Linked DNA regions of Macaca fascicularis. The protein of the gene in region 1 interacts with the protein of each later gene in a pairwise test. Links are inferred from orthologs where the notes say so. Each region holds a gene or a part of one and is shown on either strand. Other genes may lie near its edges.

Region 1 (5,024 bases):
TTTCTGCTTCTTTTATTGACCAAGTACTTCCTTCTGCTTTTCACATTTTTATTTTATTTCCAGTTGCTTTCACAAGTGCTTAATTCACTTAATTCCAAGTTTTTAGTTGATACAAAAACTTAAAACCATAAATTTTCCTCTTAGTACTATCTGAGCTAAATCCCATGAGTATGTCGTTTTCATACTTTTCTAGATATTATGTTATTTTGATTTTGTTTTCCTTTTTGTTCCAAGTGTTATTTGAGCATTTAAAAATTTTCAAGGGGTAGGCATGCTTTATTTTCTGTTTTTTTTTTCATTAATTTCTACTTTTATTGAATTGCTGCAGATAATATTACCCATATGATTCTACTTACTGGACTATATTAAGATTTTTCTCTGTGGTCTAAAATAGGACTAATTGTTGTGAATATTCCTTAGACACTAGGAAAGATGTTATGTCTATTTAGGGGACAGCATTTGATATCTATCCTAGGAATTGTATTTTTAGGTATTCTCAATCCTCATTTACTTTTTGTACCCTTAGTCTGGCAAGGAATGTGCCAATTATTTCTGCCTATTCATTCACTCCTACAGTGTTTGCTATGAATAATGAGATTATGTGATTTGGTGCAAAGATTTTCCTATTTTTCCCATTTTTTTCTTGATTGTGAATTGTGCTTCTCAAGATTATAAAATGCCCTTCTTACTCTTACTTAATGCTTTTTGCCCTGAAATCAACGTTTGAGTAAGTTGTTTGTGATTCCTGATTTTTAAAAATATTTTTTGCATTATCCTGGTATATCTTTTCCAATCTTGTATTTTTCAAACTCAGAATAACTTTAGTACTTTCTTGTATACAACACTGAGTTGCATGATGGTTTGGGCTCCAATCTGAGGTTGTAGTTTTTTAATAGGTAAGCTTAGGTCTATATTTCTTCTTGTGAGACATTTGGTCTTGTTCTGTCATATAGTTTGGTTGTGCTTTCTGTTTTGTAACTTTTTCAAATATTTCCCTATATTGGTTTGTTTTGCTGTGTGTGTGTGTGTGTGTGTGTGTGTGTGTGTGTGTGTGTGTGCATGTATGTGTGGATTATTTGAAAACTTTGTAGTTTTGTTCTGGGTTACCTTCAGAATTATACCATCCCATGACGTCTTTAATCCTCTCTTTCTTTAGATTGTCTTTTGTCTCTCCACTATATTTCTTTTTTCCCCCATTTCCCGTTTTCTTAATCACTGGATTTTAATGGATTATAGTAACTTTCTTGGTATATTCCTTCCGACTAAGACGTCTGCTTAAATCTCTACTGTTTGATTTATCGGCTTGAACTTTATTTGAGACCCAATTACAGATGTAAAAATCATATTAACCCGAAGTCCCACGTTCCCTTCCCCTCCCTACTTCTGTCAGCGATGTCGTTTTTAAAGACCGAGGCTTTATAGCATTGACATTCTTCTCTGTACCCCTAATCGCGGCATCTGTTTCCTTAATCTTACGCTTAACCCCGTGCTCCTTGCCATCCTTTTGCAGCATCTCGCCTATGCAGACTTATTTTCAACTTTTTGCTTATATAGGAGAGGTTTTGAATGAATGAGAGCGAGGGGCCTGGAGGGACTTCCCCCACCTCCCCATCATAAAGCCGGGCCTCGGACCACTTCTCCTCCTCACCATCTAGGGGCGCTGCCGCGCTCCCCAAACCTTGTGGAATTTCGAAAATGTGCGCCAGGGCGACACCTCTTGACGGTAGAAGACGACGCCGGCGGAGGGGAGCGTGCAGTGCGGTCCTCCCGCGGGCAGGGGGCAGTGCGGCAAGGCGCCCTCGGCGCAGGCGCAGAAGCCGAAGCAGGCGCTGGCGCAGGCGCGGCGCAGGCGCGGGCGCGCTCTCCCGGCAGCCCGCGCTCCCTGACCCCGCGCCGCAGAGCGCCCTGAGGACTCAGCGGAGGGTGGGCGCCGCCGAGGCCTCCTGCCGCCGGCGGGTTTCCGCGGAGTGCCGCCCGGCTCCGCGCTGCCGCCGCCGCGGCCCATGGGCAGAGTCGGCCGGGCGGGCCAGGTAAGTCGCACCCCGGCGGCCCCGGGTGGGCGGCCTGGCGGGACCTGAGGCGGGCGCGCCTTCCCGGGAGGCGCCGGACGCAAGGCCGCGGCTTTAGGCCCGTCGCGAGGGGCGGGGGCCGGGCCAGCGCAGCCCGAGCCTCCGGGGGGTCTCAGTCCCCGCGGCGGGCCCTGGTCTCTCCGCGCGGCTGCAGCCCGGGACCCTCCGCCCGCCGCCGCCTCCGGTGACCCGGGCCCTGACCTCCCTCTTCCCCTCCTCCTCCTCCTCCTCCTGTCTGCCTCTGGCTCTTTGGTACTGAAGAGCGTTTCTCCTTCACCTCGTGGGCCACATCCTGACGAAGTTGTCCGGTCACTAGACCCCAGTAGTCCGGAGCGTGTCCCCCCTGACCCCGCACAGTTGCCCCTCTCCGGGGCTCAGAGAAAGAAGCCGGTTCCTCCCCGGGACTCAGAACTGGGAGTGCAGACGTTGGCGCTTCCCAGACTCCAGAGCTCGCTAGGACAGGAATGCAGCCCTGACCCCGGCGTCGCCTCGGCTCGTGCTGTTTGAGCGGTGTTTGAGCGCTCGCGGCCGACCCCAAGCAGTCTTTGAGCGTCACCTCTTGCCCAGAGGATGTGTAATGATCGGGGAATGCAGGTGGAAGGAGGTTCTGCCCCTGCTCGCAGGAGTTTGGTTTCTAGGAAAGCAGGCGTGAAAACCCAGGCCCGGGTTGATCTGAGAGACGCAAGTAGGGTCTGAAAGGACCTCTCTTGGGAGGGGAGGTGATGCTTCTGTTGAGTCTTGAAGGTACTTGGTTAGATGGTGGGAGCTGGGGAAAAAGGCTCCCGGCGGTAAGTGCGAAAGTAGCAGAAGTGAAGCCTCGTAGTGCGTTCTGGAAACTGCAGGTAAGGCAGAGAGAAAGGTTTGAGGAGCGGGTGGTGTTGTGTTTCGAGGAGTAGTCAGGTCAGAACATGGAGGTTTCTTGAGAAGCAGTAAAGGAGCGCCGTTGGGGGTCCTTGTTTTGCTAGAGCCAGGCATATGGATGGGAAATAGGATATTCTAGATAAGGGCAAGATTCGCATATACTCAAGATGAGCACTGGCTCCCCGCAGCAGATGGAGTTTTTAAAAGGGTGAGACTCGGTTTCCACATTTTTAGTTGATAAATGCTGCGGATATTTTGACCGTAATGACGGCTTTTAGGGAATGTGGGGTAACAGTTTAGCGAGCTAAACGAGAGGGCTTTTAGTTAAGCAAGGTGCTGCATGCTGTCCAGTTTATAACAGCAGGTTGTGCGATTGTGGAACTCTCTGGAACCAAAGACAGCGTTTCTGGAGGCACTTGAGAGGATTGTTGTACATTCCCAAATGCAACTTTATTTAAAGTGGATTTCTTTTTACCTGGTTTGCTTTAAATTACCTTCCCATTCTCCCCTACATATGAATTTTTCAAACCTCCCCCCAGCAGGGAACAGATGATCCCAGGCTAGTCATCTCTCAAACCTTTCGTAATAGTCAATAGTGAAGGAAGTTCTGTTTATTCGCCTAAATTACAGGTGACTCTACTCTACTGTTTGCATTTTGGTAACAGCAGAGTGTGAGATTGAACGGAAAGATTAAATTGACAAGGGTGTCAGATGGAGGTATGGGAAAAAAAATTTTTTTTAATTCTTTAGAAAGTCATGGTAGAGCTTATACTTGAAGTAGATGCTTTTTTAGCTGTATTTTTTGCGGACACCAAAGTGCACCACCCCTTCTGTTTCCCCTCCTGTTCATTTCTGTGTATATTTGCCATATTTTTTTTTTTTCTCCTGAGACAGAATCTCACTCTGTGGTCCAGGCTGGAGTGCAGCTGTGCAAGTCGGCTCACTGCAACCTCCGCTTCCCGGGCTCAGATGGTTCTCCTGCCTCAGTCTCCTGAGTAGCTGGGATTACAGGCGCTTGCCACCATGCCCGGCCAATTTTTGTATTTTCAGTAGAGACGGGATTTCACCATGTTGGTCAGGCTGGTCTCGAACTCCTGATCTCAGGTGGTCCTCCTGCCTCGGCCTCCCAAAGTGCTGGGATTACAGGCGTGAGCCACTGGGCCCAGTCTTGCCATATTCTTTAGACTTCAAAGAGGCATGCTTTGTTTTATGATGCATGAGTATCTATTTAGTGATAGAAATATTTCTTCCTAACAAGCCTGCCTCTTTAGGTGCTCAGAACTCAGACCTCGACTCTTTATTGGTTGTGTGGTGGTGGTAGTTTTTCTCTCCTTAATTGTGGTTTACAGTTTAAATTTTATCCTACTTAAGTTATAAGTTATGTGCTTAAAAAGCAGATCTGCAGATCTCACTGTTTCATAATAATGTGATTTAAATAGGTGCATTAACATTTTTCATCCTTTGACTAACACATTTAAAAAATATTAGTAGAGCCACTTACAGTGTTCAATCATGGTGCTAAGCTAGAGATACAAAGCTGAAGATAAAAAACACCCCTGCCCTTAGGGGGCTTACACTGCAGGAAGAAACAGGTGTGTGAAACAATAGGCAGCATAACTTGCCAAGGTTGCTGTGATCTGAGTATGCTTGAGGAAACCAATTGGGGGGAGTTAGTTTTATGTGGGGGCAATAGTCACTAAAGGCTTCTGAGATGCACTTGAAAGATAAGTAGGTGGGGTGCTTCTGAGAAGACACTTCCATGTTCTTTTTCCTGCCAGTTGCACATGTTTTAAAAAAATACTTTCCAGCTTGGGTGGAATCTTGAAAACTCAACATTCTTCCTTCTGGCAGAACCATGTTTGTTATGTTTCTTGAGAGAAAATGTAGCATATATGAAACGTGGGTTGCTCAAAGCGTAGTGTTGCCACAAAAAGGAAGGAAATAGCAAATATTTTAAAGTTATAAAACCCAGCAATTTGTATTTACTTTTGATCCTGGCTTCTTGTGGTATATCCAATTGTTAGAAAGTACAACTTTTTGTTACCTGGCAGCAGACCTAATGAAATAAGTGTGTTATGTTGTCTAAGTAATATG
Region 2 (4,842 bases), on another chromosome or scaffold:
GGATCCTGTTCTAAGTGCTTCCCTCGCTCCCCACCCCCGCCATTCAACAAAATTCTACTTCTTCAGAGCCGGTTCAAATGCTTTATTCTCTATGACCACAATCCCTCCCCCGCCCCGTCTCTTTTCCTCACTCTTACTCTCAGAATTAATTACTTCTTTCAGAGGTCCCTCAGCTATTGATCCTTCCTTGCAGCATCAATTTAGTTATGCATAGTATTAGTTTGCGGTTTCCTTGTCTCCTTCATTTCTCATTAAGTTTTAAAGCATATGAAGACAGTGCATGTTTATCTGTCTCTGTAAGCCCTACAACACTTTGGGCAGGCTTTTACACACAAAACGGGGCTCAAAAATATTTTGAATAAATGAATTAGGGAGAGGTCCACGAACGCCCTCCGCTCCCACCCTAGTCCTCAGAGCAATACTTTAAAATAAAAATCTGACCATTTCAACCTTGTTAAAGGCCGATCTTCATTCTGAGAATAGCTTTTTTTTTTTTTTTTTTTTTTTTTTTTTTTTTTTTGAGCGGAGTCTCGCTCTGTCGCCCAGACTGGAGTGCAGTGGCCGGATCTCAGCTCACTGCAAGCTCCGCCTCCCGGGTTTACGCCATTCTCCTGCCTCAGCCTCCCGAGTAGCTGGGACTACAGGCGCCCGCCACCTCGCCCGGCTAGTTTTTTGTATTTTTTAGTAGAGACGGGGTTTCACCGTGTTCGCCAGGATGGTCTCGATCTCCTGACCTCGTGATCCGCCCGTCTCGGCCTCCCAAAGTGCTGGGATTACAGGCTTGAGCCACCGCGCCCGGCGAGAATAGAATTCAAACTCCTAAGCACGATGGTGACCTCAGGGCGCTGTGTGAACCTGCACCCACACCCCGTCCAACCACGTCCCTCTCCACACCTGATCTAATAAAATGACTGCTTAGGTGACCTGCAAGACCGGCTGTACTAATTTATGCCACAGGCTTTTACCTCAATTACTCCCTCTTTCTGGAATGTCCTTTCTTTCCTTGCCTGGCCTGATTCAGGCATAGTCTTCTCAAACAAGCTTTCCTTCTTTGAATCTAGGTCCTGATTAATAACTTTTTAAAAAAGTACTAAGTACAGAAAAGTTTAATATGATGCTCCCCCATTTATGTGATTAAAAATGAAAACAATACTAAAGTGTAAAATGTAATCTTTAAAAATGTCACACAACTTTACATGCATGCTAGATTTAGAACACCGTCTGTATTTACGATTTTCTCTCATTGACTGTCTCCACGCGCACCCACTCTGCAGACGCCCTTAACAGTGTCTACTGGATCACCCTCAGGTTGGGTCAAACGCTCCTCTTCTCGGCTTTTCGGGCGCAACCGTATGTCAACATTCACCATCTTAAGATGAGCAGACTGCAAGCGTGGGAGCTGCCGAAGTGGCGAGAACAGCGTTTCCGTCGATCAAGCGCCAGGCCACCGGTCAGCTCCAGTCCTATTTTGAGTTGAAGTAAAAGCTACTCCCTAGATGGCCAGTGCACGTCTTTAAAAAGCGGCTCCCTTCCCACAAAGGAAATACGACTGGTTCGCATCTGTCAAGGGTTGGCGTTGGGATAAGAGAGTGAAATATCAGCTGGCCCTGGACAAGGAGATACTCTGAATTCCCGGACCCAATAACGTGACCAAACACCGTGACTCCCAGGAAAACTAGCGTAGTGAGCGCGGCTGAGGAAATTACTGACACCGGAAGTCACGTGAGCGGCTTCCCCCAAGGTCGCTATCTCGACAGTCGACTATTCAGCCTTGCAGGCTCCTCTGGCGGGCTTCGCTGAGATCCGCTCTTTCGGTGCTCGACTCGCCCGTGCTGCTGCTGCCGCCGAAGGAGGGGCAAAGCTCAAGATGGCGGACAAAACGCCAGGCGGATCTCAGAAGGCCAGTTCAAAGGTAATTTCTGACAAAATTTCGTAAGTCAGCGGATCTACCACTGTCGTCTGGGGCCCACAGACGCTTCTGGCCTGTGAGAGGCGATTGGGATTGGGGTCTGCGTTCTGCTCGGGACGGTAGGCCCGGGCGCCGCCGCACCGTGGTGCGCAGGTTGAGAGGCCTGGTATCTCCCCTTATTCCCAGCCTGGATTCAGCTCGAAACTGGCGTGCCCAGGGGGTGGTGGCGTGAGTGCTTCGGCCCGCACTTGGCGTTGGAGTGAAATCAGGAATTCAGATTGAGGTCTGAAGTCGTGAAAACGCTCTCCTGTATTTCAGCTTCCTGCGCCCTGAGGCCTCCAGACAGCGCCTGGGAGAGAGGCGGGAATCGCTTCCCGGTGCTTAAGTGCTGCTTTTTTCTCGGTTTTGGATCTCACTCACTTCCGGCCTCCCTCAGTTTCCCTCCAAGGAATAAATAATCTTTAGGGTCGCCAGCTGTGAGGGGAGGACCACTAGGGCAAAGACGCGAAGTGGGAAATGCAGAGGCGGGAGCAAGCTCTCCTTTGCAGTGCTTCATAGCCAAGGTTAATGTACACGCTACACGTGGTCTTTACCTTAAGGGGAAGTAAAAAGCACTTTTTAGGGTAGAGGACTCGTGGTCTCTTTCTTCATGTTGAAGAAACACAGTGAAAAGAGAAGCCCCGTAGACTTTTAAGCTACATACGATTAGTAAATTGCATTTGTGTTTACAGGGAATCCTGTGCACGTATTGTGAAACCAGTGAGCTGTGGTAGTAGTTCAGCATTAGTAAGGTTGGGTTCTTAGTTGCCATCTTGGGCGGGACATTTAATCGTTGTTTGCTTTGGTTTTCTGGTCTCGAATATATTAATTGGTACTGCCACTAGGTAGTTAAACTTCCCGATGCTGATGCAAAAAGGTGTATAACACTTTTTTAGGTGCTGGGGACTGTTACATCTTAAAGAGTATGTGTGACTATAAATCAGTTATTAGAAAGTTAAATTTACTGTAGGAGAGAAGCTTGCTTTTACAGTTCTGAGAAACACCAACTCGTTTTCTACTTGCGTTCTCTAATCCGACTGTTTATGCCACTTGGTGAATGATGTACACCAAAATAATTAGTTCATAATTAGTAATGGTCTTACCAGACATCCTTTAGTTACGTAGAAACTTTGATAAGGGGCCAGTTTCGGCTGCTTTACAAGGTGTTGTGTCAGTTTTTTTCCCTCAGTACATTTCGTCTTCTCCCCCTCTTTGGGGGCGGGGGGAATACAGGGGTAACTCGCTCTACCAACTCTTCTCAACAGACTCATGACAAGAACATACCGTTAAGGAGCTATTACTAAAGTTAGCTACGTTCATAACAAGTCATGCATAAGCCTCACAATTTCTGTTTCTTCTCAAAGTAATATTTTAAGTATTCCCTACTTGAGGTCTTGGATACATTGAAAACATTTCAATGTCTGTGTTCAGACTTCCTTCTGAAATAGTACTTTTCATGATTGTGAATGATGGCTGTTCCCTATAAATAAATTATTGGATTATCCAGTAATCTTTTCTGTTTATATTGTCTTAGATTATAATCTCTTGATGCTGTTAACAGATTTCTTACTGATGTCTGTAAAAGGAATCAGAATATCTTAACTAATTTGGAGGCTGCATAATGTAGTGGGAAGATTATGAATTTTGTTAGCAAAAGAGATTTGGGTTTAAATCGTGACTTGGTAATTAATTATATTTGCGATAATATTAAGGCAGATTGCTTAAACTCTGGAACCTCAATTTCCTCATTTGTAATGTAGATATAATTCTTTTTTTACAAGGTTGATATAAGGATTAAATGAGCTAATGTCTATAAAGTACAACATAATAAATTGTAGTTTCTTTCCCCTCACCTTTTTTGTTTTTAGAGGAAATAAGTTCTTAACTTTCAAAATGTCAGGATAAATTTTAAACCTGTGATTTGGAATCTAAGTAATCAGCCGTCATAATGACTGCCCAGATAGCTGCTTTTTATTTTTATTTTTATTTTATTTTATTTTATTTTTGTGAAGAAGTCTCACACTGTTGCCCAGGCTGGAGTACTGTGGCACAGTCTCTGCTCATTGCAACCTCCGCCTCCCGGGTTCAAGTGATTTTCCTGCCTCAGCCTCCTGAGTATCTGAGAGTACAGGCGCGCACTTCCACACCCGGCTAACTTTTTGTATTTTAGTAGAGATGGGGTTTCACCATGTTGGCCAGGATGGTCTCGATCTCTTGACCCTGGTGATCCACCCGCCTCGGCCTCCCAAAGTGCTGGGATTACAGGCGTGAGTCACTGTGCCCCGCACTGCTTTTTATTTCTAACACAAAATTTGTTAGAGAAAGTGTAAGATCATTTTGGCTAATACTACAGTATTTGGAATTTCTAGCCTTTGATATCTGGTTTGATTTCCTTTCCCCAGGAAAGAACAGATGAGTGGCTTATGTTTTACAATACAGATGGAGTGAACAGATACTTCTGTTTCATGTTTCGTCGTTTTCTTTGGTAGTTAAATTCCCATTAATATGGATAGGGATGCTTATATTTCTAGACATTGGGAAAATGGTAATTTTAAAATATACAGTATGGCAAAACTATTAACATTTCTTAATTATAAAAAGATTAGATTAGATAACCTCTACAGGTCTTCTAGTTGCTTTTTTTTTTTTTGAGACAAGAGTCTTGCTCTGTCGCCCAGGCTGGAGTGCAGTGGCACAATCTCAGCTCACTGTAACCTCTGCCTCCCGGGTTTGAGCGATTCTTCTGCCTCAGCCTCCCGAGTAGCTGGGACTACAGGTGCCCGACTAATTTTTGTATTTTTAGTATTTTAGTATTTGTATTTTAGTATTTTAGTATTTTGTATTTTAGTAGAGACGGGGTTTCATCTATTGGCCAGGCTGGTCTGTAACTCCTG
Region 3 (4,884 bases), on another chromosome or scaffold:
GGTGGAGAAACTGGCCGGGACTCAAGAGTCACCCAGAGACGGTGATCCCGTCCTTGTTTTCATAGGACTTAGGGTTTCAGCGTTAAAACCAGGCTGTTCTGGGCAAACGGCATAAGCTGGTCACCCCACACCCAGACCTGACCCAAACCCAGCTCCCTTGCTTGCTGGCCACGTAACCTGAGAAGGGACTCCCCTCTTCCCTGAACTCCAGCCCACCCCAATACTCCAGGCCTCCTGGGATACCCCGAAGAGTGAGTTTGCCAAGCAGTCACCCCACAGTGGGAGGAGAATCCACCTGAAAGCCGGCCTGGCGGACTGGGCTGGGGCGACCTCTCGCCGGGTCCAGGCCAACTAGGTGGCCTGGGGCCTCTGGGGGATGCAGGGGAAGGGGGCTCAGTCTGAAGAGCAGAGCCAGGAACCCCTGTAGGGAAAGTGCAGGAGAGCCAGGGGCATGGGATGGTGACGAGGAAGGGGGACAGGGAACCTGAGCGCCTCTCCTGGGCTTGCCAAGGACTGAAACCCAGGGGCCCGGAGCAGGGCCTTAGGGAAGAGGGGCCCCGGGACCCCGCTCCGGGCGGAGGAGTATGTCCCAGATAGCACTGGGCCTCTTTAAGGAAAGAAGGATGGAGAAAGAGAAGGGGGTAGAGGCGGCCACGACCTGGTGAACACCTAGGACGAACCATTCTCACAAAGGGAGTTTTCCACACGGACACGCCCTCCTCGCCACAGCCCTGCCAGGGCGGGGCGGCTACTGGCCTTATCTCACAGGGAAAACTGATGCACAGAGGAACAGTACAAATTCGGTGCTAGAAAGGTGAAGACCCAAAATTAGAACTCAGGACCAACTTATTCTGATTTTGTTTTTCCAAACTGCTTCTCCTCTTGGGAAGCGTAAGGAAGCAGCAGCACCCGGCTCAGTGAAATGCACCAGACGGCCGCGCCAGAGCAGCTCAGGCTCTGGGAGAGGGCAGCGCAGGGCGGCCACTGAGAACCAGCAGGTCGCGCATCCCCCTTACCTCCCACCCCCCGCCAAGCTCTCCCTCCCAGGATCCTCTCTGGCTCCATCAGTAAGCAAACCCTAGGGGTTCTGGCGGGGAGAGAGAGGTGGCTCCAGGAAATGGGGGTGTGTCACCAGATAAGGAATGTGCTTAAAAGGAGGTGGGGGTCAGGCCCAATATCTGGAGACTAGGAGGGAGGAGGCCTAAGGATGGGGCTTTCTGTCACCAGTCCTGTCCCTAGTGGCCCCACGGTGGGGTGGAGGGGACAGATAAAAGTACCCAGAACCAGAGCCATATTAATCGGTCCTGGGAATATAAGGTGGTCCCGGCTCTGGGACACAAGATCTTGTCCTGAAGTGGCCATGGGGGCCCGGCTTGGAAGAAGAGGACCAGCCGAGCTCTGGGACCCCTGGAAGATGCCGTGACAGGGGCCGGAAGAGCGAGCACAGACTAGAGAGGTAAAGGGGGTATGGGAGCTGCCCGAATTAAAGAAGTGAGAGGTGACCCAAATCCACAGGAGGAGGGGGTGTCCAGGCAAAGAAAGTAAGAGGATGGAGAGGTGGCTAAAGCCAGGGAGACAGGGACTTTGGGGTTGTCGGGAAAAACGGTGATGATGCAGGCCTACGAGAAGGGGAGGTGGGGACGCAAGGGAGAGGCATCCCACAGAGAAGACCATCCTAAGAAACGAGAGATGGCACAGGCCCCAGAAGGAGAGGGAAAAGGGAACCCAGCGAATGAAGATGGCATGGGGGTTGGGGTAGGGAGCAGAGATGCCCGGAGAGGACCCAGACAAGGGCAGGATCCGCTCCGAGGACACCACGTGGTGCAGCGCCGAGAAGGAAGTGCTCTGGAAAGAGCATCCTTGGGCAGCAACGCACAGCACAGAGCAAGGGGAAGAGGGATTGGAGGAAGCTGGAACCTGAAGGAGGTGGTGGGGAAGGATCTGGGCCTAGCCGTAGGGGTGGCCCAGGCCACAAGCTGCAGGCAGAAAGCGGCACAGGTTCAGGGGAGAGAATGCAGGTCAGTGAAAGCAGCACCCGCCAGGAAAGGGGAAACAGCGGGCCAGAGGCGGCGCAGAAGCCAGTAGAGCTCAAAGTGGTCCGGACTCAGGAGAGAGACGGCCGCATTAGAGGGCAGAGTAGAGGGGGCACAGCAAGGGCACTCGGCGGCGAGTGGAGGGCAGCGCAAAGTGACAATGGCCAGGGCCAGGGAGATAGACGAGAGTGAGCTATGGGAGCTGCCTCAGGTTCAGGAGAGGGCAGGGCAGGGAGAGAGACAAAGTCCAGGGCCGGCTAGAGAGGCTCAACATCGGAAGAGGGGAAGTCGAGGGAGGGATGGTAAGGGGGACTGCAGGGGTCAGCACAGGCTGGCAAAGCCAGGGCCAGTTAAAGCGACTCCAATGCGGAAGAGGGTAGATCGAAGGGGACTGGTAAGGATGCCTGGGGCAGGGTGGTAAGCACAGAGTGGCAAAGCCCAGGGCCACTTGAAGCAGCCCCAATTCGGAAGCAGGGTGGTCGAAGAGGGCTGGTAAGGGGGCGCTGGGACGGGGTGTCAGCATAGGGTGGCAAAGCCCAGGGCTAGGAACGACGGGGCGGATCGAGACTGGCAACGGCGGCTCGGAACCGGGGAAGGAGGATGCCCCAGGCGGCGCTGCGGAGGGTGGGCCTGGCCCCGGGAGACGCCGGAGGGGGCGCTGACCTGGTGCAGGGCGCTGATGCCGTCGGCGTTGGTGGAGTCCAGCACTGCGCGGGCGGGCGGCGGCGCGGCGGGGTCGAGCTCGGCGCCGGGGCCAGGGTCGGCGGCGCACAGCATCAGACGCGCTTCGTCCAGGTCGCCGCCCGCACAGGCCGCCAGGAACTCGGCGGCGCGCTCGAAGCGGACGGTGCGGGCGCGGCGCTCTCCGGGGCCAGGCTCGGCGCCCGCCCGCGCCCCCCACTGCCGCAGCTGCTCCCGTCGCCGCTCCCGGGCAGCCGCCGCCGCCGCCCCCGGGCCAGCCGCCGGGCCATCCTCTCCGGACATCGCACCGCCCGCCCGCCCAGCGAGCGAGCGAGCGAGCGCCGAGCCCCAACTGCCGCCGCCGCCCGCCCGCCCCGGGGGCCGCCGGGAACTGCCGCTGGCCCCCCCCACCGCCGCAGGGATCTCCCGGCCCCCGCCCGGCGCGCCGACGTCACGGCGCTGCCCCAGGGTGTGCTGGGCAGGTCGCGGGGAGCGCCGGGAAATGGAGTCCATAAGCGGAAGTTGCCCCTGGCCACTTTCAGGAGTCGCTGTGCCCCGATGCACACTGGGAAGTCCGCAGCTCCGAGGCGCCCAGTGGAAATCACCGAATGAGGGCCTCCTCCGGGGAATGCTGGGAAATGGAGTCTGCAGACCGGAGGGATGCCCCACGGCATACTAGGAAGCGTAGAGTACCGGGTAAAGGGGACGAAGAGCAGGCTGCCCCAGGGCAGTTAGGAAATCGACTGGACAGCCGCGTGGCAGGGAGTGCGGGGAGAGGCAGGGTTGTTTTGTTATTGTTGTTTTATTTTGTTTGTTTTGAGACGGAGTCTCGCTCTGTCTCCACTCTGGAGTTCAGTGGCGCGATATCCGCTCACTGCAACCTCCGCTTCCCAGGTTCAAGCAATTCTCCTGCCTCAGCCCCCAGAGTAGCTGGGATTACAGGCGCCCGCCACCACGCCCTGCTAATTTTTATATTTTTAGTAGAGACGGAATTTCACCATGTTGGCCAGGATGGTCTCGATCTCTTGACCTCGTGATCTGCCCGCCTCGGCCTGTAATCCTGCTGGGATGTCGGGCGTGAGCCTCCACGCCCGGCTGGGTTTTATTTATTTTGGGTTTTTTCCTGATCCCTTAACTCGAAATAAGCTCCACGAGGGCAGGGACTTTTGTCTTCTGTGCACTACTTGTCCTTGGTTCGTAGAACAGAACCTGAGAGTACGTGATCGCAAATATTTTTGGAATGAATGAATGAATGGGTTCACCAGGGCACCATGGGAAACTGAGTCCACAACCCAAAAGCCGTGAAAGACGGTCCATATCCAGGCTTCCCTGGGTGACCTCCCAGGGCATGCTGGGAAATGAAATTTGCGGTGCAAAGGTCAGGACCACGATCCTAGGGCACGCTGGGAAATGTAGCCCACAGGGCCACACCCCTAAAAACACAGCGGGTGGAAGGCATCTCGGGCTCGGGGCAGGAGAAGTCCACAGTCCCTAGTGGTAATCCCTGAACCACACGGAGGAAAGGAACCCAACAGTGACAGGGCTCCCAGAGCCTTCACTGGTCCGCGCTTCTTCTGCGCCCAACCGGACCTCCCGGGACCCGTCCAGGCCCCCGCGCGCTCTCAAGGCATGCTGGGATTGGTGGTCCCGGGCGAGGAGTTCCAGCAGGTGGGGGGCGAATCACCTTACAGCGGGCCCAAGCGATGAGCACACTTTAATCTTCACCTTGCGGATCCCGCGCCTAGCTCCAAATTGGGAAGGTGGCTGGCACTTTGAGACAGGAAGAGACCGACCAAAATCACACAGAATTGGGCCAAAATCCAGACAGGCTACAGACGGTTTCCCAAGCGCTGTGGGAGTTTCCCACCCACTCTGAAGTCCTGGGTTTGCGCGGAGAAGTAAACTGTGCATCCCACGAGGCCTGTTTCTTTCCCTCTCTCTTTCTTTTCCTTTTTTTTTTTTTTTTTTTGTTGTTGTTGTTGTTACGAAAATTTTTGTGGTTTTATTGTATCATGAGGCATTGAAACATTCGAACCACTCTGTCTGGGTGAGGCAGCTGCTTTCTCCTTCTCTTTCTTTGGGTTACTAGAGCAACTTGTCAGATTTTTTTTTTTTTTTTTTTGGGGGGGACGGAGTCTTGCTCTGTCACCCAGGCCGGAGTGCAGTGGCG
Region 4 (4,318 bases), on another chromosome or scaffold:
TCTGTTCTTCCAACCTTTCCACTTAAAATGTGTGGCCTAAAAATAAAAAATAAATAAGACAAAAAAACACCAAAAAACAAAAAGAATGTGTGGCCTAATGATATACACATTTGATGTTGAATCTGTCTGTATGTAGCTCTCTCTAGGGAGATCATGTTCCATCATCTCAGCCAGACTTTAGGTCCTGTGAGTCCAGGCACTGGACTTAACATGCTCAATAGGGCTTTGATGAATGATAATAATGTCAATGCAGACATCCCCATACCCCAGCTTCAGCACCCCCTTCACCTCCTCACACGGGGGCAGAGAGGTCCTCTTTTCCTTCTGGCTATGTTTACACCCTCAACTATCCTTCCAGCACTGGAGACAAGTCTCACCTGCACTAACCTGTCTTTGAAGGTCCTGGGAGCTGGAGGGGTCACAGGCCCTGAGCCAGCAGGCTGAGGTGATCGCTCGGCAGTTGCAAGAACTGCGGCGGCTGGAGGAGGAGGTCCGGCTCCTGCGGGAGACCTCACTGCAGCAGAAGATGAGGCTAGAGGCCCAGGCCATGGAGCTGGAGGCCCTGGCACAGGCAGAGAAGGCCGGCCGAGCTGAGGCCGAGGGCCTGCGTGCTGCTTTGGCTGGGGCTGAGGTCGTCCGGAAGAACTTGGAAGAGGGGAGCCAGCGCGAGCTGGAAGAGGTTCAGAGGCTGCACCAAGAGCAGGTGAATGCAGGGGTGGGAAGGATTTAAATTCATAACGGAGAGCTGGGCAGTAGCTTCCAAGCAAAGAACAGGTATTGCAGAAGAGACTCTCCATGAGTAGTGAGTAGTGGAGTGATGAGACCTTTGGTGAAAAGAAACACACATGGCCTAGAAAGATGGAGAATTTGGTTATTTTGATCTTAATTCAGGTTGCACTTTTTCCCCAAGACTCAGGTGGCCTCCCACGACTTGAAGCCCTGCTTCCTTTTCTAGTAGGAAGTAGTTTGCCTCCCTGCTTTACTCTGGGTACCAATTCATCGGGGGTATTGTGGAGGGCAGTGAGGAAGGTGGATATAAAGGGGCTATGGTGGACTGGGAGAGAGAGATTATTCAGTCTGCAAACTCAGTGCTTACTCTTTGCCATCTCAGACTCAGTGACCAAATTAGCCTGAATCCTGCCTTCATGGATGGAACTGACAGCCTCATGGGGGATACACACATCCACTTTTAATTTAATCATAATTAATTGCAATCAGGAGGAGTGCCTTGAAGGCGAAGGACTAGAGAGCACTAACTTAGTCTGGGGTTCAGGGAAGGCCACTGTAACCAATTGGACATGTCAAGGAAAGAAACCATAAGGCCGGGTGCAGTGGCTCACGCCTGTAATCCCAGCATTTTGGGAGGCCGAAGCAGGTGGATCACAAGGTCAGGAGTTCAAGACCAGCCTGGCCAACATGGTGAAACCCCGTCTCTACTAAAAATACAAAAATTCACCAGACATGGTGATGCACACCTGTAATCCCAGCTACTCAGGAGGCCGAGGCAGGAGAATCACTTGAGCCTGGGAGGTGGAGGTTGCAGTGAGCCGAAATTATGCCATTGCACTCCAGCCTGGGCAACAGAGCAAGACTCTGTCGCAAAAAATAAAAAAGGAACTGGGAGAAAACAAGGGAGAAATTCTTTGTAACCTTGTAGTGGGCAAGGCCTTTCTACCTGTGAGTCAAAATCCAAAATCTAGAAGCCGTAAAGGAAAAGATTGATCCATTGACTTTATAACATGAACATTAGGAATGGCAGGGAAAAAAAAAAAAAAAAAAAAAAAAAAAAAAAAAAAAGCTCTATTTATAGCTCAGATCACAAGAAAAGGGTAATATCCCTCATATAAAATGTGTGCCTAGAAATTGGTAAGGGAAAGACCAGCAATCCAGTCAGAAAGTGGACAAAGGAGATTCATGAAAGAAACTTAGAAACAAGAAGCTAGGCCGGGCACAGTGGCTCACACCTGTAATCCCAGCACTTTGGGAGGCTGAGGTGGGCAGGATTACTTGAGGCCAGGAGTTCAAGACCAGTCTGGCCAACATGAAGAAACCCAGTCTCTACAAAAAATACAGAAATTAGCCGGGTATGGCGGTGGGCGCCTGTAATGCCCCAGCTTCTTGGGAGGCTGAGGCAGGAGAATTGCTTGAACCTGAGAGACAGAGGTTACAGTGAGCTGAGATCACCACACTCCAGCCTGGGCAGCAGAGCGAGACTAAAAAAAACTAGCAAGCTACCATTTGTGCTGAATAGGAGTTGGCCAGTGAATAGGCGTGTGAGGTCCAATGGTCGCTGGAGGACACTCGGCAGGACAACCGGTGGAGGCGGGGACAGGCAGAGGCCAGAAGGCTGGAGCATAGAGATCAGGGGCGCTGAGTGTGCTGCAGAGCATGGGACCCAGGGCACAAGGCCTTAGCCACTTCAGAACTTGCTACTTTCCCTTAAGAGCAATGAGCAGGCTGGGCACGGTGGCTCATACTTGTAATCCTAGCACTTTGGGAGGCTAAGGCAGAAGGATCACTTGAGCCCAGGAGTTTGAGACTAGCCTGGGCAACAACGTGAGCCCCCATCTCTATTTTATTAAATAAACTAGGGCTGGGCATAGTTGCTCACATGTGTAATCCCAGCACTTTGGGAAGCTGAGGTGGGTGGATCACTTGAGGTCAGGAGTTCGAGACCAGCCCTGCCAACATGGTGAAACCTCATCTCTACTAAAAGTACAAAAATTAGCTGGGCGTGGTGGCTCATGCCTGTAATCTCAGCTACTTGGGAGGGTGAGGCAGGAGAATCGCTTGAACCTGGGAGGCAGCGTTTGCAGTGAGCTGAGATTGTGCCATTGCACTTAGTCTGAGCAACAAAGTGAAACTCCATCTCCAAAATAACAAAAAGAAAACAAAATTGTTTTTTTAAGTGATAAGCAACTGTTGAAGGGTTTTAGGCAGGGAAATGACATGATTAGATTTGTATTTTATGTCTAAAAAGTTTTGTCATTTATATCCCCCAAATTAACTTTATTGTTGTATGGAGACGGGGCTAGAGGAGGCAGACCAGGAAGCAGGGTGGCCACTTTGCCCTCCTTCCCAGTCCATCCCATGACTGTTGCTGGCTCTGACACCCTTGCAACCCTTTGAGGTGCCATGAGCAAAAGACACAAAATTCCTCCTTTCCTAGAACTTTCCTTCCGATGTGGTCTGACAGATAGTAACACATACACATAAGCAAGATATGGTCAGTGCCAAGTGCTCGGGAGGACGTGAGCAGTTGATGGGGCACAGGAGGGTGGTGAGGGTTATTAGAGGGCCCAGCGAAGCCACCCTGAGGAGGGGCTATCACCTGGGGTCTGTGGAGCAAGGAGGGGCCGCTGTCTGGTTCTCAGCGGACTCCCTGTGGCTGGAGCGGGGAGCATTAGGAGAGCCTCTAGGGTGAACTCAGGAGGCAGGCAGAGGCTGGGTCCCCCGGCCTGCAGGTGTGGAGAGATGCCTGGGTTTTGCTGTGAATGCTGTGAGAAGCCACCGAGGGTTTGTAAAGACTAGTTAGGAGATGGTCCCTGTTGCGAGGCAAGAGATGAGGGTAGCTTACCTTGGGTTGGTGGCAGTGGAGACGGAGACGGAGAGAGGTGAAGATATGTTTTGGGGGAGATTGAACAAGAACTCCCGATGGGTTGTGGGGCAACTGCAGAGAGTGAGTTACCAGCTCTCCATTTGCTATGCGCAGTTGGGTGATTGGTTTGGTCATTGTCTAAGGTCACAGAAAGTGGGAGTGAAGGGAACAAGGAAGGCCTCCATGTGGGGTCGAGCTCCTGCTGAGCCTCCTCTTCTTTCCACAGCTGTCCTCTTTGACACAGGCTCACCAGGAGGCTCTTTCCAGTTTGACCAGCAAGGCCGAGGGCTTGGAGCAGTCTTTGAGTAGTCTGGAAACCAGGAGAGCAGGGGAAGCCAAGGAGCTGGCCGAGGCTCAGAGGGAGGCCGAGCTGCTTCGGAAGCAGCTGAGGTAGGTGGGTGGATGCCGACGGGGGCCCAGCAGTTGGTGATGTGGTGGGTCTGCAGGGTGCCCCACTGATGGCTGTCCCATTCCCACCCCAACCCTAGCAAGACCCAGGAAGACTTGGAGGCTCAGGTGACCCTGGTTGAGAATCTAAGAAAATATGTTGGGGAACAAGTCCCTCCTGAGGTCCACAGCCAGACATGGGAACTGGAGCGACAGAAGTTTCTGGAAAACATGCAGGTGAGTGTGCAGGAGTGCATCTGTGTGGGGACTTGGGGATCAGGTTGGGGGGCAAGTGTGGCCCTTGGAGGAGCGTGTAGAGCACAGCCCTCAGGA
Region 5 (4,318 bases), on another chromosome or scaffold:
TCTATCTCAAAAAAAGAAAAATCTCAGCTGGGTGTGGGGCTCATGTACACATGTAATCTCAGCTACTTGGGAGGCTAAGGCCAGAGAATAGCTTGAACCCGGGATGCAGCTGCGACTACCATATCACTCCAGCCTGGGGAACAAGAGCAAAACTCCATCTCAAAGCAGAAAAGAAAAAAAAAATGGCCAGGCATGGTGGCTTAAGCCTGTACTCCCAGCACTTCGGGAGGCCAAGGCGAGCGGATCACAAGATCAAGAGATCAAGACGATTCTGGCCAACATGGTGAAACCCCAACTCTACTAAACATACAAAAATTAGCTGGGCATGGTGGCACACGTCTGTAGTCCCAGCTACTCAGGAGGCTGAGGCAGGAGAATAGCTTGAACCCAGGAGGGGGAGCTTGCAATGAGCCGAGATCACACCACTGCATTCCAGCCTGGTGACAGAGTGAGACTGTCTCAAAAAAACAAAAAATTGGCCGGGCACGGTGGCTCAAGCCTGTAATCCCAGCACTTTGGGAGGCCGAGACGGGCGTATCACGAGGTCGGGAGATCGAGACCATCCTGGCTAACATGGTGAAACCCCGTCTCTACTAAAAAATACAAAAAACTAGCCGGGCGAGGTGGCGGGCGCCTGTAGTCCCAGCTACTCGGGAGGCTGAGGCAGGAGAATGGTGTAAACCCGGGAGGCGGAGCTTGCAGTGAGCTGAGATCCGGCCACTGCACTCCAGCCCGGGCAACAGAGCGAGACTCCATCTCAAAAAAAAAAAAAAAAAAAATTTAGCTGGGTGTGGTGGTGGTGTACCTGTAGTCCTAGCTATTTACTATTTAGCAGGCTGAGGTGGGAGAATCACTTGAGGAGTTTGAAGTTTAAAGTGGCCTATCATCTCACCACAGTACTCTAGCCTGGGCAACAGAGCAAGACCCTGTCTTTAGAGGAAAAAAGGGCCCCTTGTGGTGGCTCACGCCTGTAATCCCAGCACTTTGGGAGGCCAAGGCGGTTAGATCGTCTGAGGGCAGGAGTTCGAGACCAGCCTGGCTAAATGGCAAAACCCCGTCTCTAGTAAAAATAGAAAAATTAGCTGGGCATGGTGGTGGGCACCTGTAATCCTAGCTACTCAGGATGCCGAGGCAGGAGAATTGCTTGAATCTGTGAGATGGAGGTTGCGGTGAGCTGAGATCGCATTATTGCACTCCAGCCTGGGCAACAAGAATGAAACTCTGTTTCAAAAAAAATTTTTAAATGCCGGCCGTGGTGGCTCACGCCTATAATCCCAGCACTTTTGGAGGCCAAGACGGGCAGATCACCTGAGGTCAGGAGTTCGAGACCAGCCTGACCAACATGGTGAAATCCCGTCTCTACTAAAAATACAAAATTAGCTGGGCGTCATGATGCATGCCTGTAATCCTATCTACTCAGGAGACTGAGGCAGGAGAATTGCTTGACCCGGGAGGTTGAGGTTGTGGTGAGCCAGGATCATGCCATCGCCCTCCAGCCTGGGCAACAAGAGCAAAACTCTGTCTCAAAGAAAATAAAAATGTTGGCCGTTTTGGCTCACGCCTGCAATGCGCTAGCACTTTGGGAGGCCGAGGTGGGTGGAGCAGTTGAGGTCAGGAGTTCAAGATTAGCCTGGCCAACATGGTGAAACCTCATCTCTACTAAAAGTACAAAAATTAGCTGGATGTGGTGGTACATGTCTGTACTCCCAGATACTCGGGAGGCTGACGCTTCAAGAATTGCTTGAACCTGGGAGGTGGAGGTTGCAGTGAGTGAGCTGAGATCGCACCATTGCATTCCAGCCTGGGCGACAGAGTGAGAGTTCGTCTGGGAAAAAAAAAACAAAAAAAACACAAAGTTTTGATAATAGACTCCAGCATATCTGTAATCCCAGCTACTCCTGGAAGCTGAGGCAGGAGAATCGCTTGAACCTGGCAGGCAGAGGTTGTAGTGAGCTGAGATTGTGCCACTGCACTCCTGCCTGGGCAACAGAGAAAGTCCATCTTTTAAAAAAAAAAGTTTTGATACTTCCTTGTTAGACCCTAGTTAATTGTCTTGCTTGCTCTCTGGGGTGGATACATGTCCCTGTGATTGTAATGTGCTGCTGGACAATTCTGTATTTAGTTTTACGTATTATGTCCTCAGAAGCCTTGAGTATGCCAGTGTTTTCTCACATTGTGCAGGGCCCCTGTCTGGGATCTCTTTTTTTACCTTCCTTGGATGCTGGATTTTCAGTGTTGCCTGGTTCACTCACTGATGAATCTTGTTGCTTACAGGTCCAGGTGCAGGTACAGCAGTCTCCGCAACAGGTCTCGGCTCAGCAGCTCTCCCCACAGCTCACCGTTCACCAGCCTACTGAGCAACCCATCCAGGTCCAGGTGCAGATCCAAGGCCAGGCACCACAGTCAGCAGCCCCCTCCATTCAGACCCCGTCTCTGCAGAGTCCCAGTCCCTCGCAGCTGCAAGCAGCTCAGATCCAGGTGCAGCACGTGCAAGCGGCCCAGCAGATCCAGGCTGCAGAAATCCCGGAGGAGCACATCCCACATCAGCAAATCCAGGCTCAGCTGGTGGCTGGCCAGTCTCTTGCTGGTGGTCAGCAGATCCAAATCCAGACCGTGGGTGCCCTTTCCCCACCACCATCCCAGCAGGGCTCACCCCGGGAAGGGGAGCGGCGGGTTGGCACAGCCAGTGTCCTCCAGCCAGTGAAGAAGCGCAAAGTGGACATGCCCATCACTGTGTCCTACGCCATCTCAGGGCAGCCGGTGGCCACCGTGCTGGCCATTCCACAGGGCCAGCAGCAGAGTTATGTGTCTTTGAGGCCAGACTTACTGACAGTAGACAGTGCCCACCTGTACAGTGCCACTGGGACCATTACTAGCCCTACAGGAGAAACCTGGACCATCCCTGTTTATTCTGCCCAGCCCCGGGGGGACCCTCAGCAGCAGAGCATTACCCACATTGCCATTCCCCAGGAAGCCTACAACGCAGTTCACGTCAGTGGCTCACCCACGGCCCTGGCAGCTGTTAAGCTGGAGGATGACAAGGAGAAGATGGTGGGCACCACATCTGTAGTGAAAAACTCCCATGAAGAGGTAGTGCAGACCCTTGCAAACTCTCTCTTTCCAGCACAGTTCATGAATGGCAACATCCACATTCCAGTGGCTGTGCAGGCTGTGGCAGGCACTTACCAGAATACGGCTCAAACTGTCCATATATGGGACCCCCAACAGCAGCCGCAGCAGCAAACTCCCCAGGAACAGACACCACCACCACAGCAGCAGCAGCAGCAGCTCCAGGTTACTTGTTCAGTAAGTGAAGACTTATCAGTAGGGCAGGCAGCCTGGTCCCTCAGGGCCCAGTGCGCAAAGAGCTTGCCTGGCAACCTCTGGCTTATTTACTGCTGTTACTCTTACAGTGATACAGTATTTAGTATTTGGGAGGAGAGGGGGAGAAACAGCACTTGAGGCTGTGCAACAGAAAAAAAGGTTTATCCTGGTACATGGAAGTAAATGAGATGACCAGGAATTGCTTTGGAGTTTTGGAGAGATTTTGGGTTTAAGTACCATGGACACTTCTTTGTAATCTCTTCTCAGGAAGAGTAAAGTTATAGGTGTAGATGAATGGGATACCTCAAGTGTGTCCCAGGTGCTGCTTCCTTGTATCATAAGTAAATGGTTCTAGCGAAACACTTGTAGTTTATCACATAGATTACAAATATCACTGGAGAGGCTGTGAGATTCTTTGTTCTGTTTTTCATCTTTGGGCACACAGTGTGGGTGAATTAGAAAAGCTAAAATATCTCTTAATGAGCCTGTTAAAAGTGATAACCATTGGGAGGCTTGAATATGCCGTCTATGCAGTGGGACCTCCCAAGAGTGTTTTTGTGTTACTTGAAAACGGGCAGCCGGGCAAGGTGGCTCACGTCTGTAATCCTAGCACTTTGGGAGGCCGAGGCGGGTGGATCGCAAGTCAGCAGTTCAATACCAGCCTGGCCAATATGATGAAACCCCATCTCTACTAAAAATACAAAAATTAGCTGGGCGTGGTGGCAGGCACCTGTAATCCCAGCTACTCAGGAGGCTAAGGCAGGAGAATCACTTGAACCCAGGAGGCAGAGGTTGCAGTGAGCCAAGATTGTACCATTGCACTCCAGCCTGGACAACAAGAGCAAAACTCCGTCAAAAAAAAAAAAAAAAAAAAAAAAATATATATATATATATATATATATATATATATATATATGGGCCAGGCACGGTGGCTCACGCATGTACTTTGGGAGGCCGAGGTGGGTGAATCACCGGAGGCCAGGAGTTTGAGATC

The links.
Region 2: the proteins of RBM17 (region 1) and U2SURP interact in binary tests that used the Homo sapiens proteins (3 or more experiments, as listed by UniProt). The link is inferred for Macaca fascicularis from reciprocal best matches to the Homo sapiens genes RBM17 and U2SURP.
Region 3: the proteins of RBM17 (region 1) and PPP1R12C interact in binary tests that used the Homo sapiens proteins (3 or more experiments, as listed by UniProt). The two-hybrid records come from large-scale screens. The link is inferred for Macaca fascicularis from reciprocal best matches to the Homo sapiens genes RBM17 and PPP1R12C.
Region 4: the proteins of RBM17 (region 1) and CCHCR1 interact in binary tests that used the Homo sapiens proteins (3 or more experiments, as listed by UniProt). The link is inferred for Macaca fascicularis from reciprocal best matches to the Homo sapiens genes RBM17 and CCHCR1.
Region 5: the proteins of RBM17 (region 1) and QRICH1 interact in binary tests that used the Homo sapiens proteins (3 or more experiments, as listed by UniProt). The two-hybrid records come from large-scale screens. The link is inferred for Macaca fascicularis from reciprocal best matches to the Homo sapiens genes RBM17 and QRICH1.

What each region holds. Positions count from the first base shown.
Region 1 is NC_088383.1:7,036,643-7,041,666, forward strand, and holds the start of RBM17 (splicing factor 45), read left to right. Parts: upstream 1-1,895; 5' UTR 1,896-2,030; intron 2,031-5,024. UniProt on the Homo sapiens protein: Splice factor that binds to the single-stranded 3'AG at the exon/intron border and promotes its utilization in the second catalytic step. Involved in the regulation of alternative splicing and the utilization of cryptic splice sites.
Region 2 is NC_088376.1:45,814,234-45,819,075, forward strand, and holds the start of U2SURP (U2 snRNP-associated SURP motif-containing protein), read left to right. Parts: upstream 1-1,840; 5' UTR 1,841-1,867; coding exon 1,868-1,912; intron 1,913-4,842.
Region 3 is NC_088393.1:62,990,919-62,995,802, forward strand, and holds the start of PPP1R12C (protein phosphatase 1 regulatory subunit 12C), read right to left. Parts: upstream 3,111-4,884; 5' UTR 3,018-3,110; coding exon 2,697-3,017; intron 1-2,696. UniProt on the Homo sapiens protein: Regulates myosin phosphatase activity.
Region 4 is NC_088378.1:141,514,809-141,519,126, forward strand, and holds part of CCHCR1 (coiled-coil alpha-helical rod protein 1), read left to right. Parts: intron 1-399; coding exon 400-703; intron 704-3,824; coding exon 3,825-3,988; intron 3,989-4,086; coding exon 4,087-4,222; intron 4,223-4,318. UniProt on the Homo sapiens protein: May be a regulator of keratinocyte proliferation or differentiation.
Region 5 is NC_088376.1:112,040,750-112,045,067, reverse strand, and holds part of QRICH1 (transcriptional regulator QRICH1), read left to right. Parts: intron 1-2,274; coding exon 2,275-3,306; intron 3,307-4,318. UniProt on the Homo sapiens protein: Transcriptional regulator that acts as a mediator of the integrated stress response (ISR) through transcriptional control of protein homeostasis under conditions of ER stress.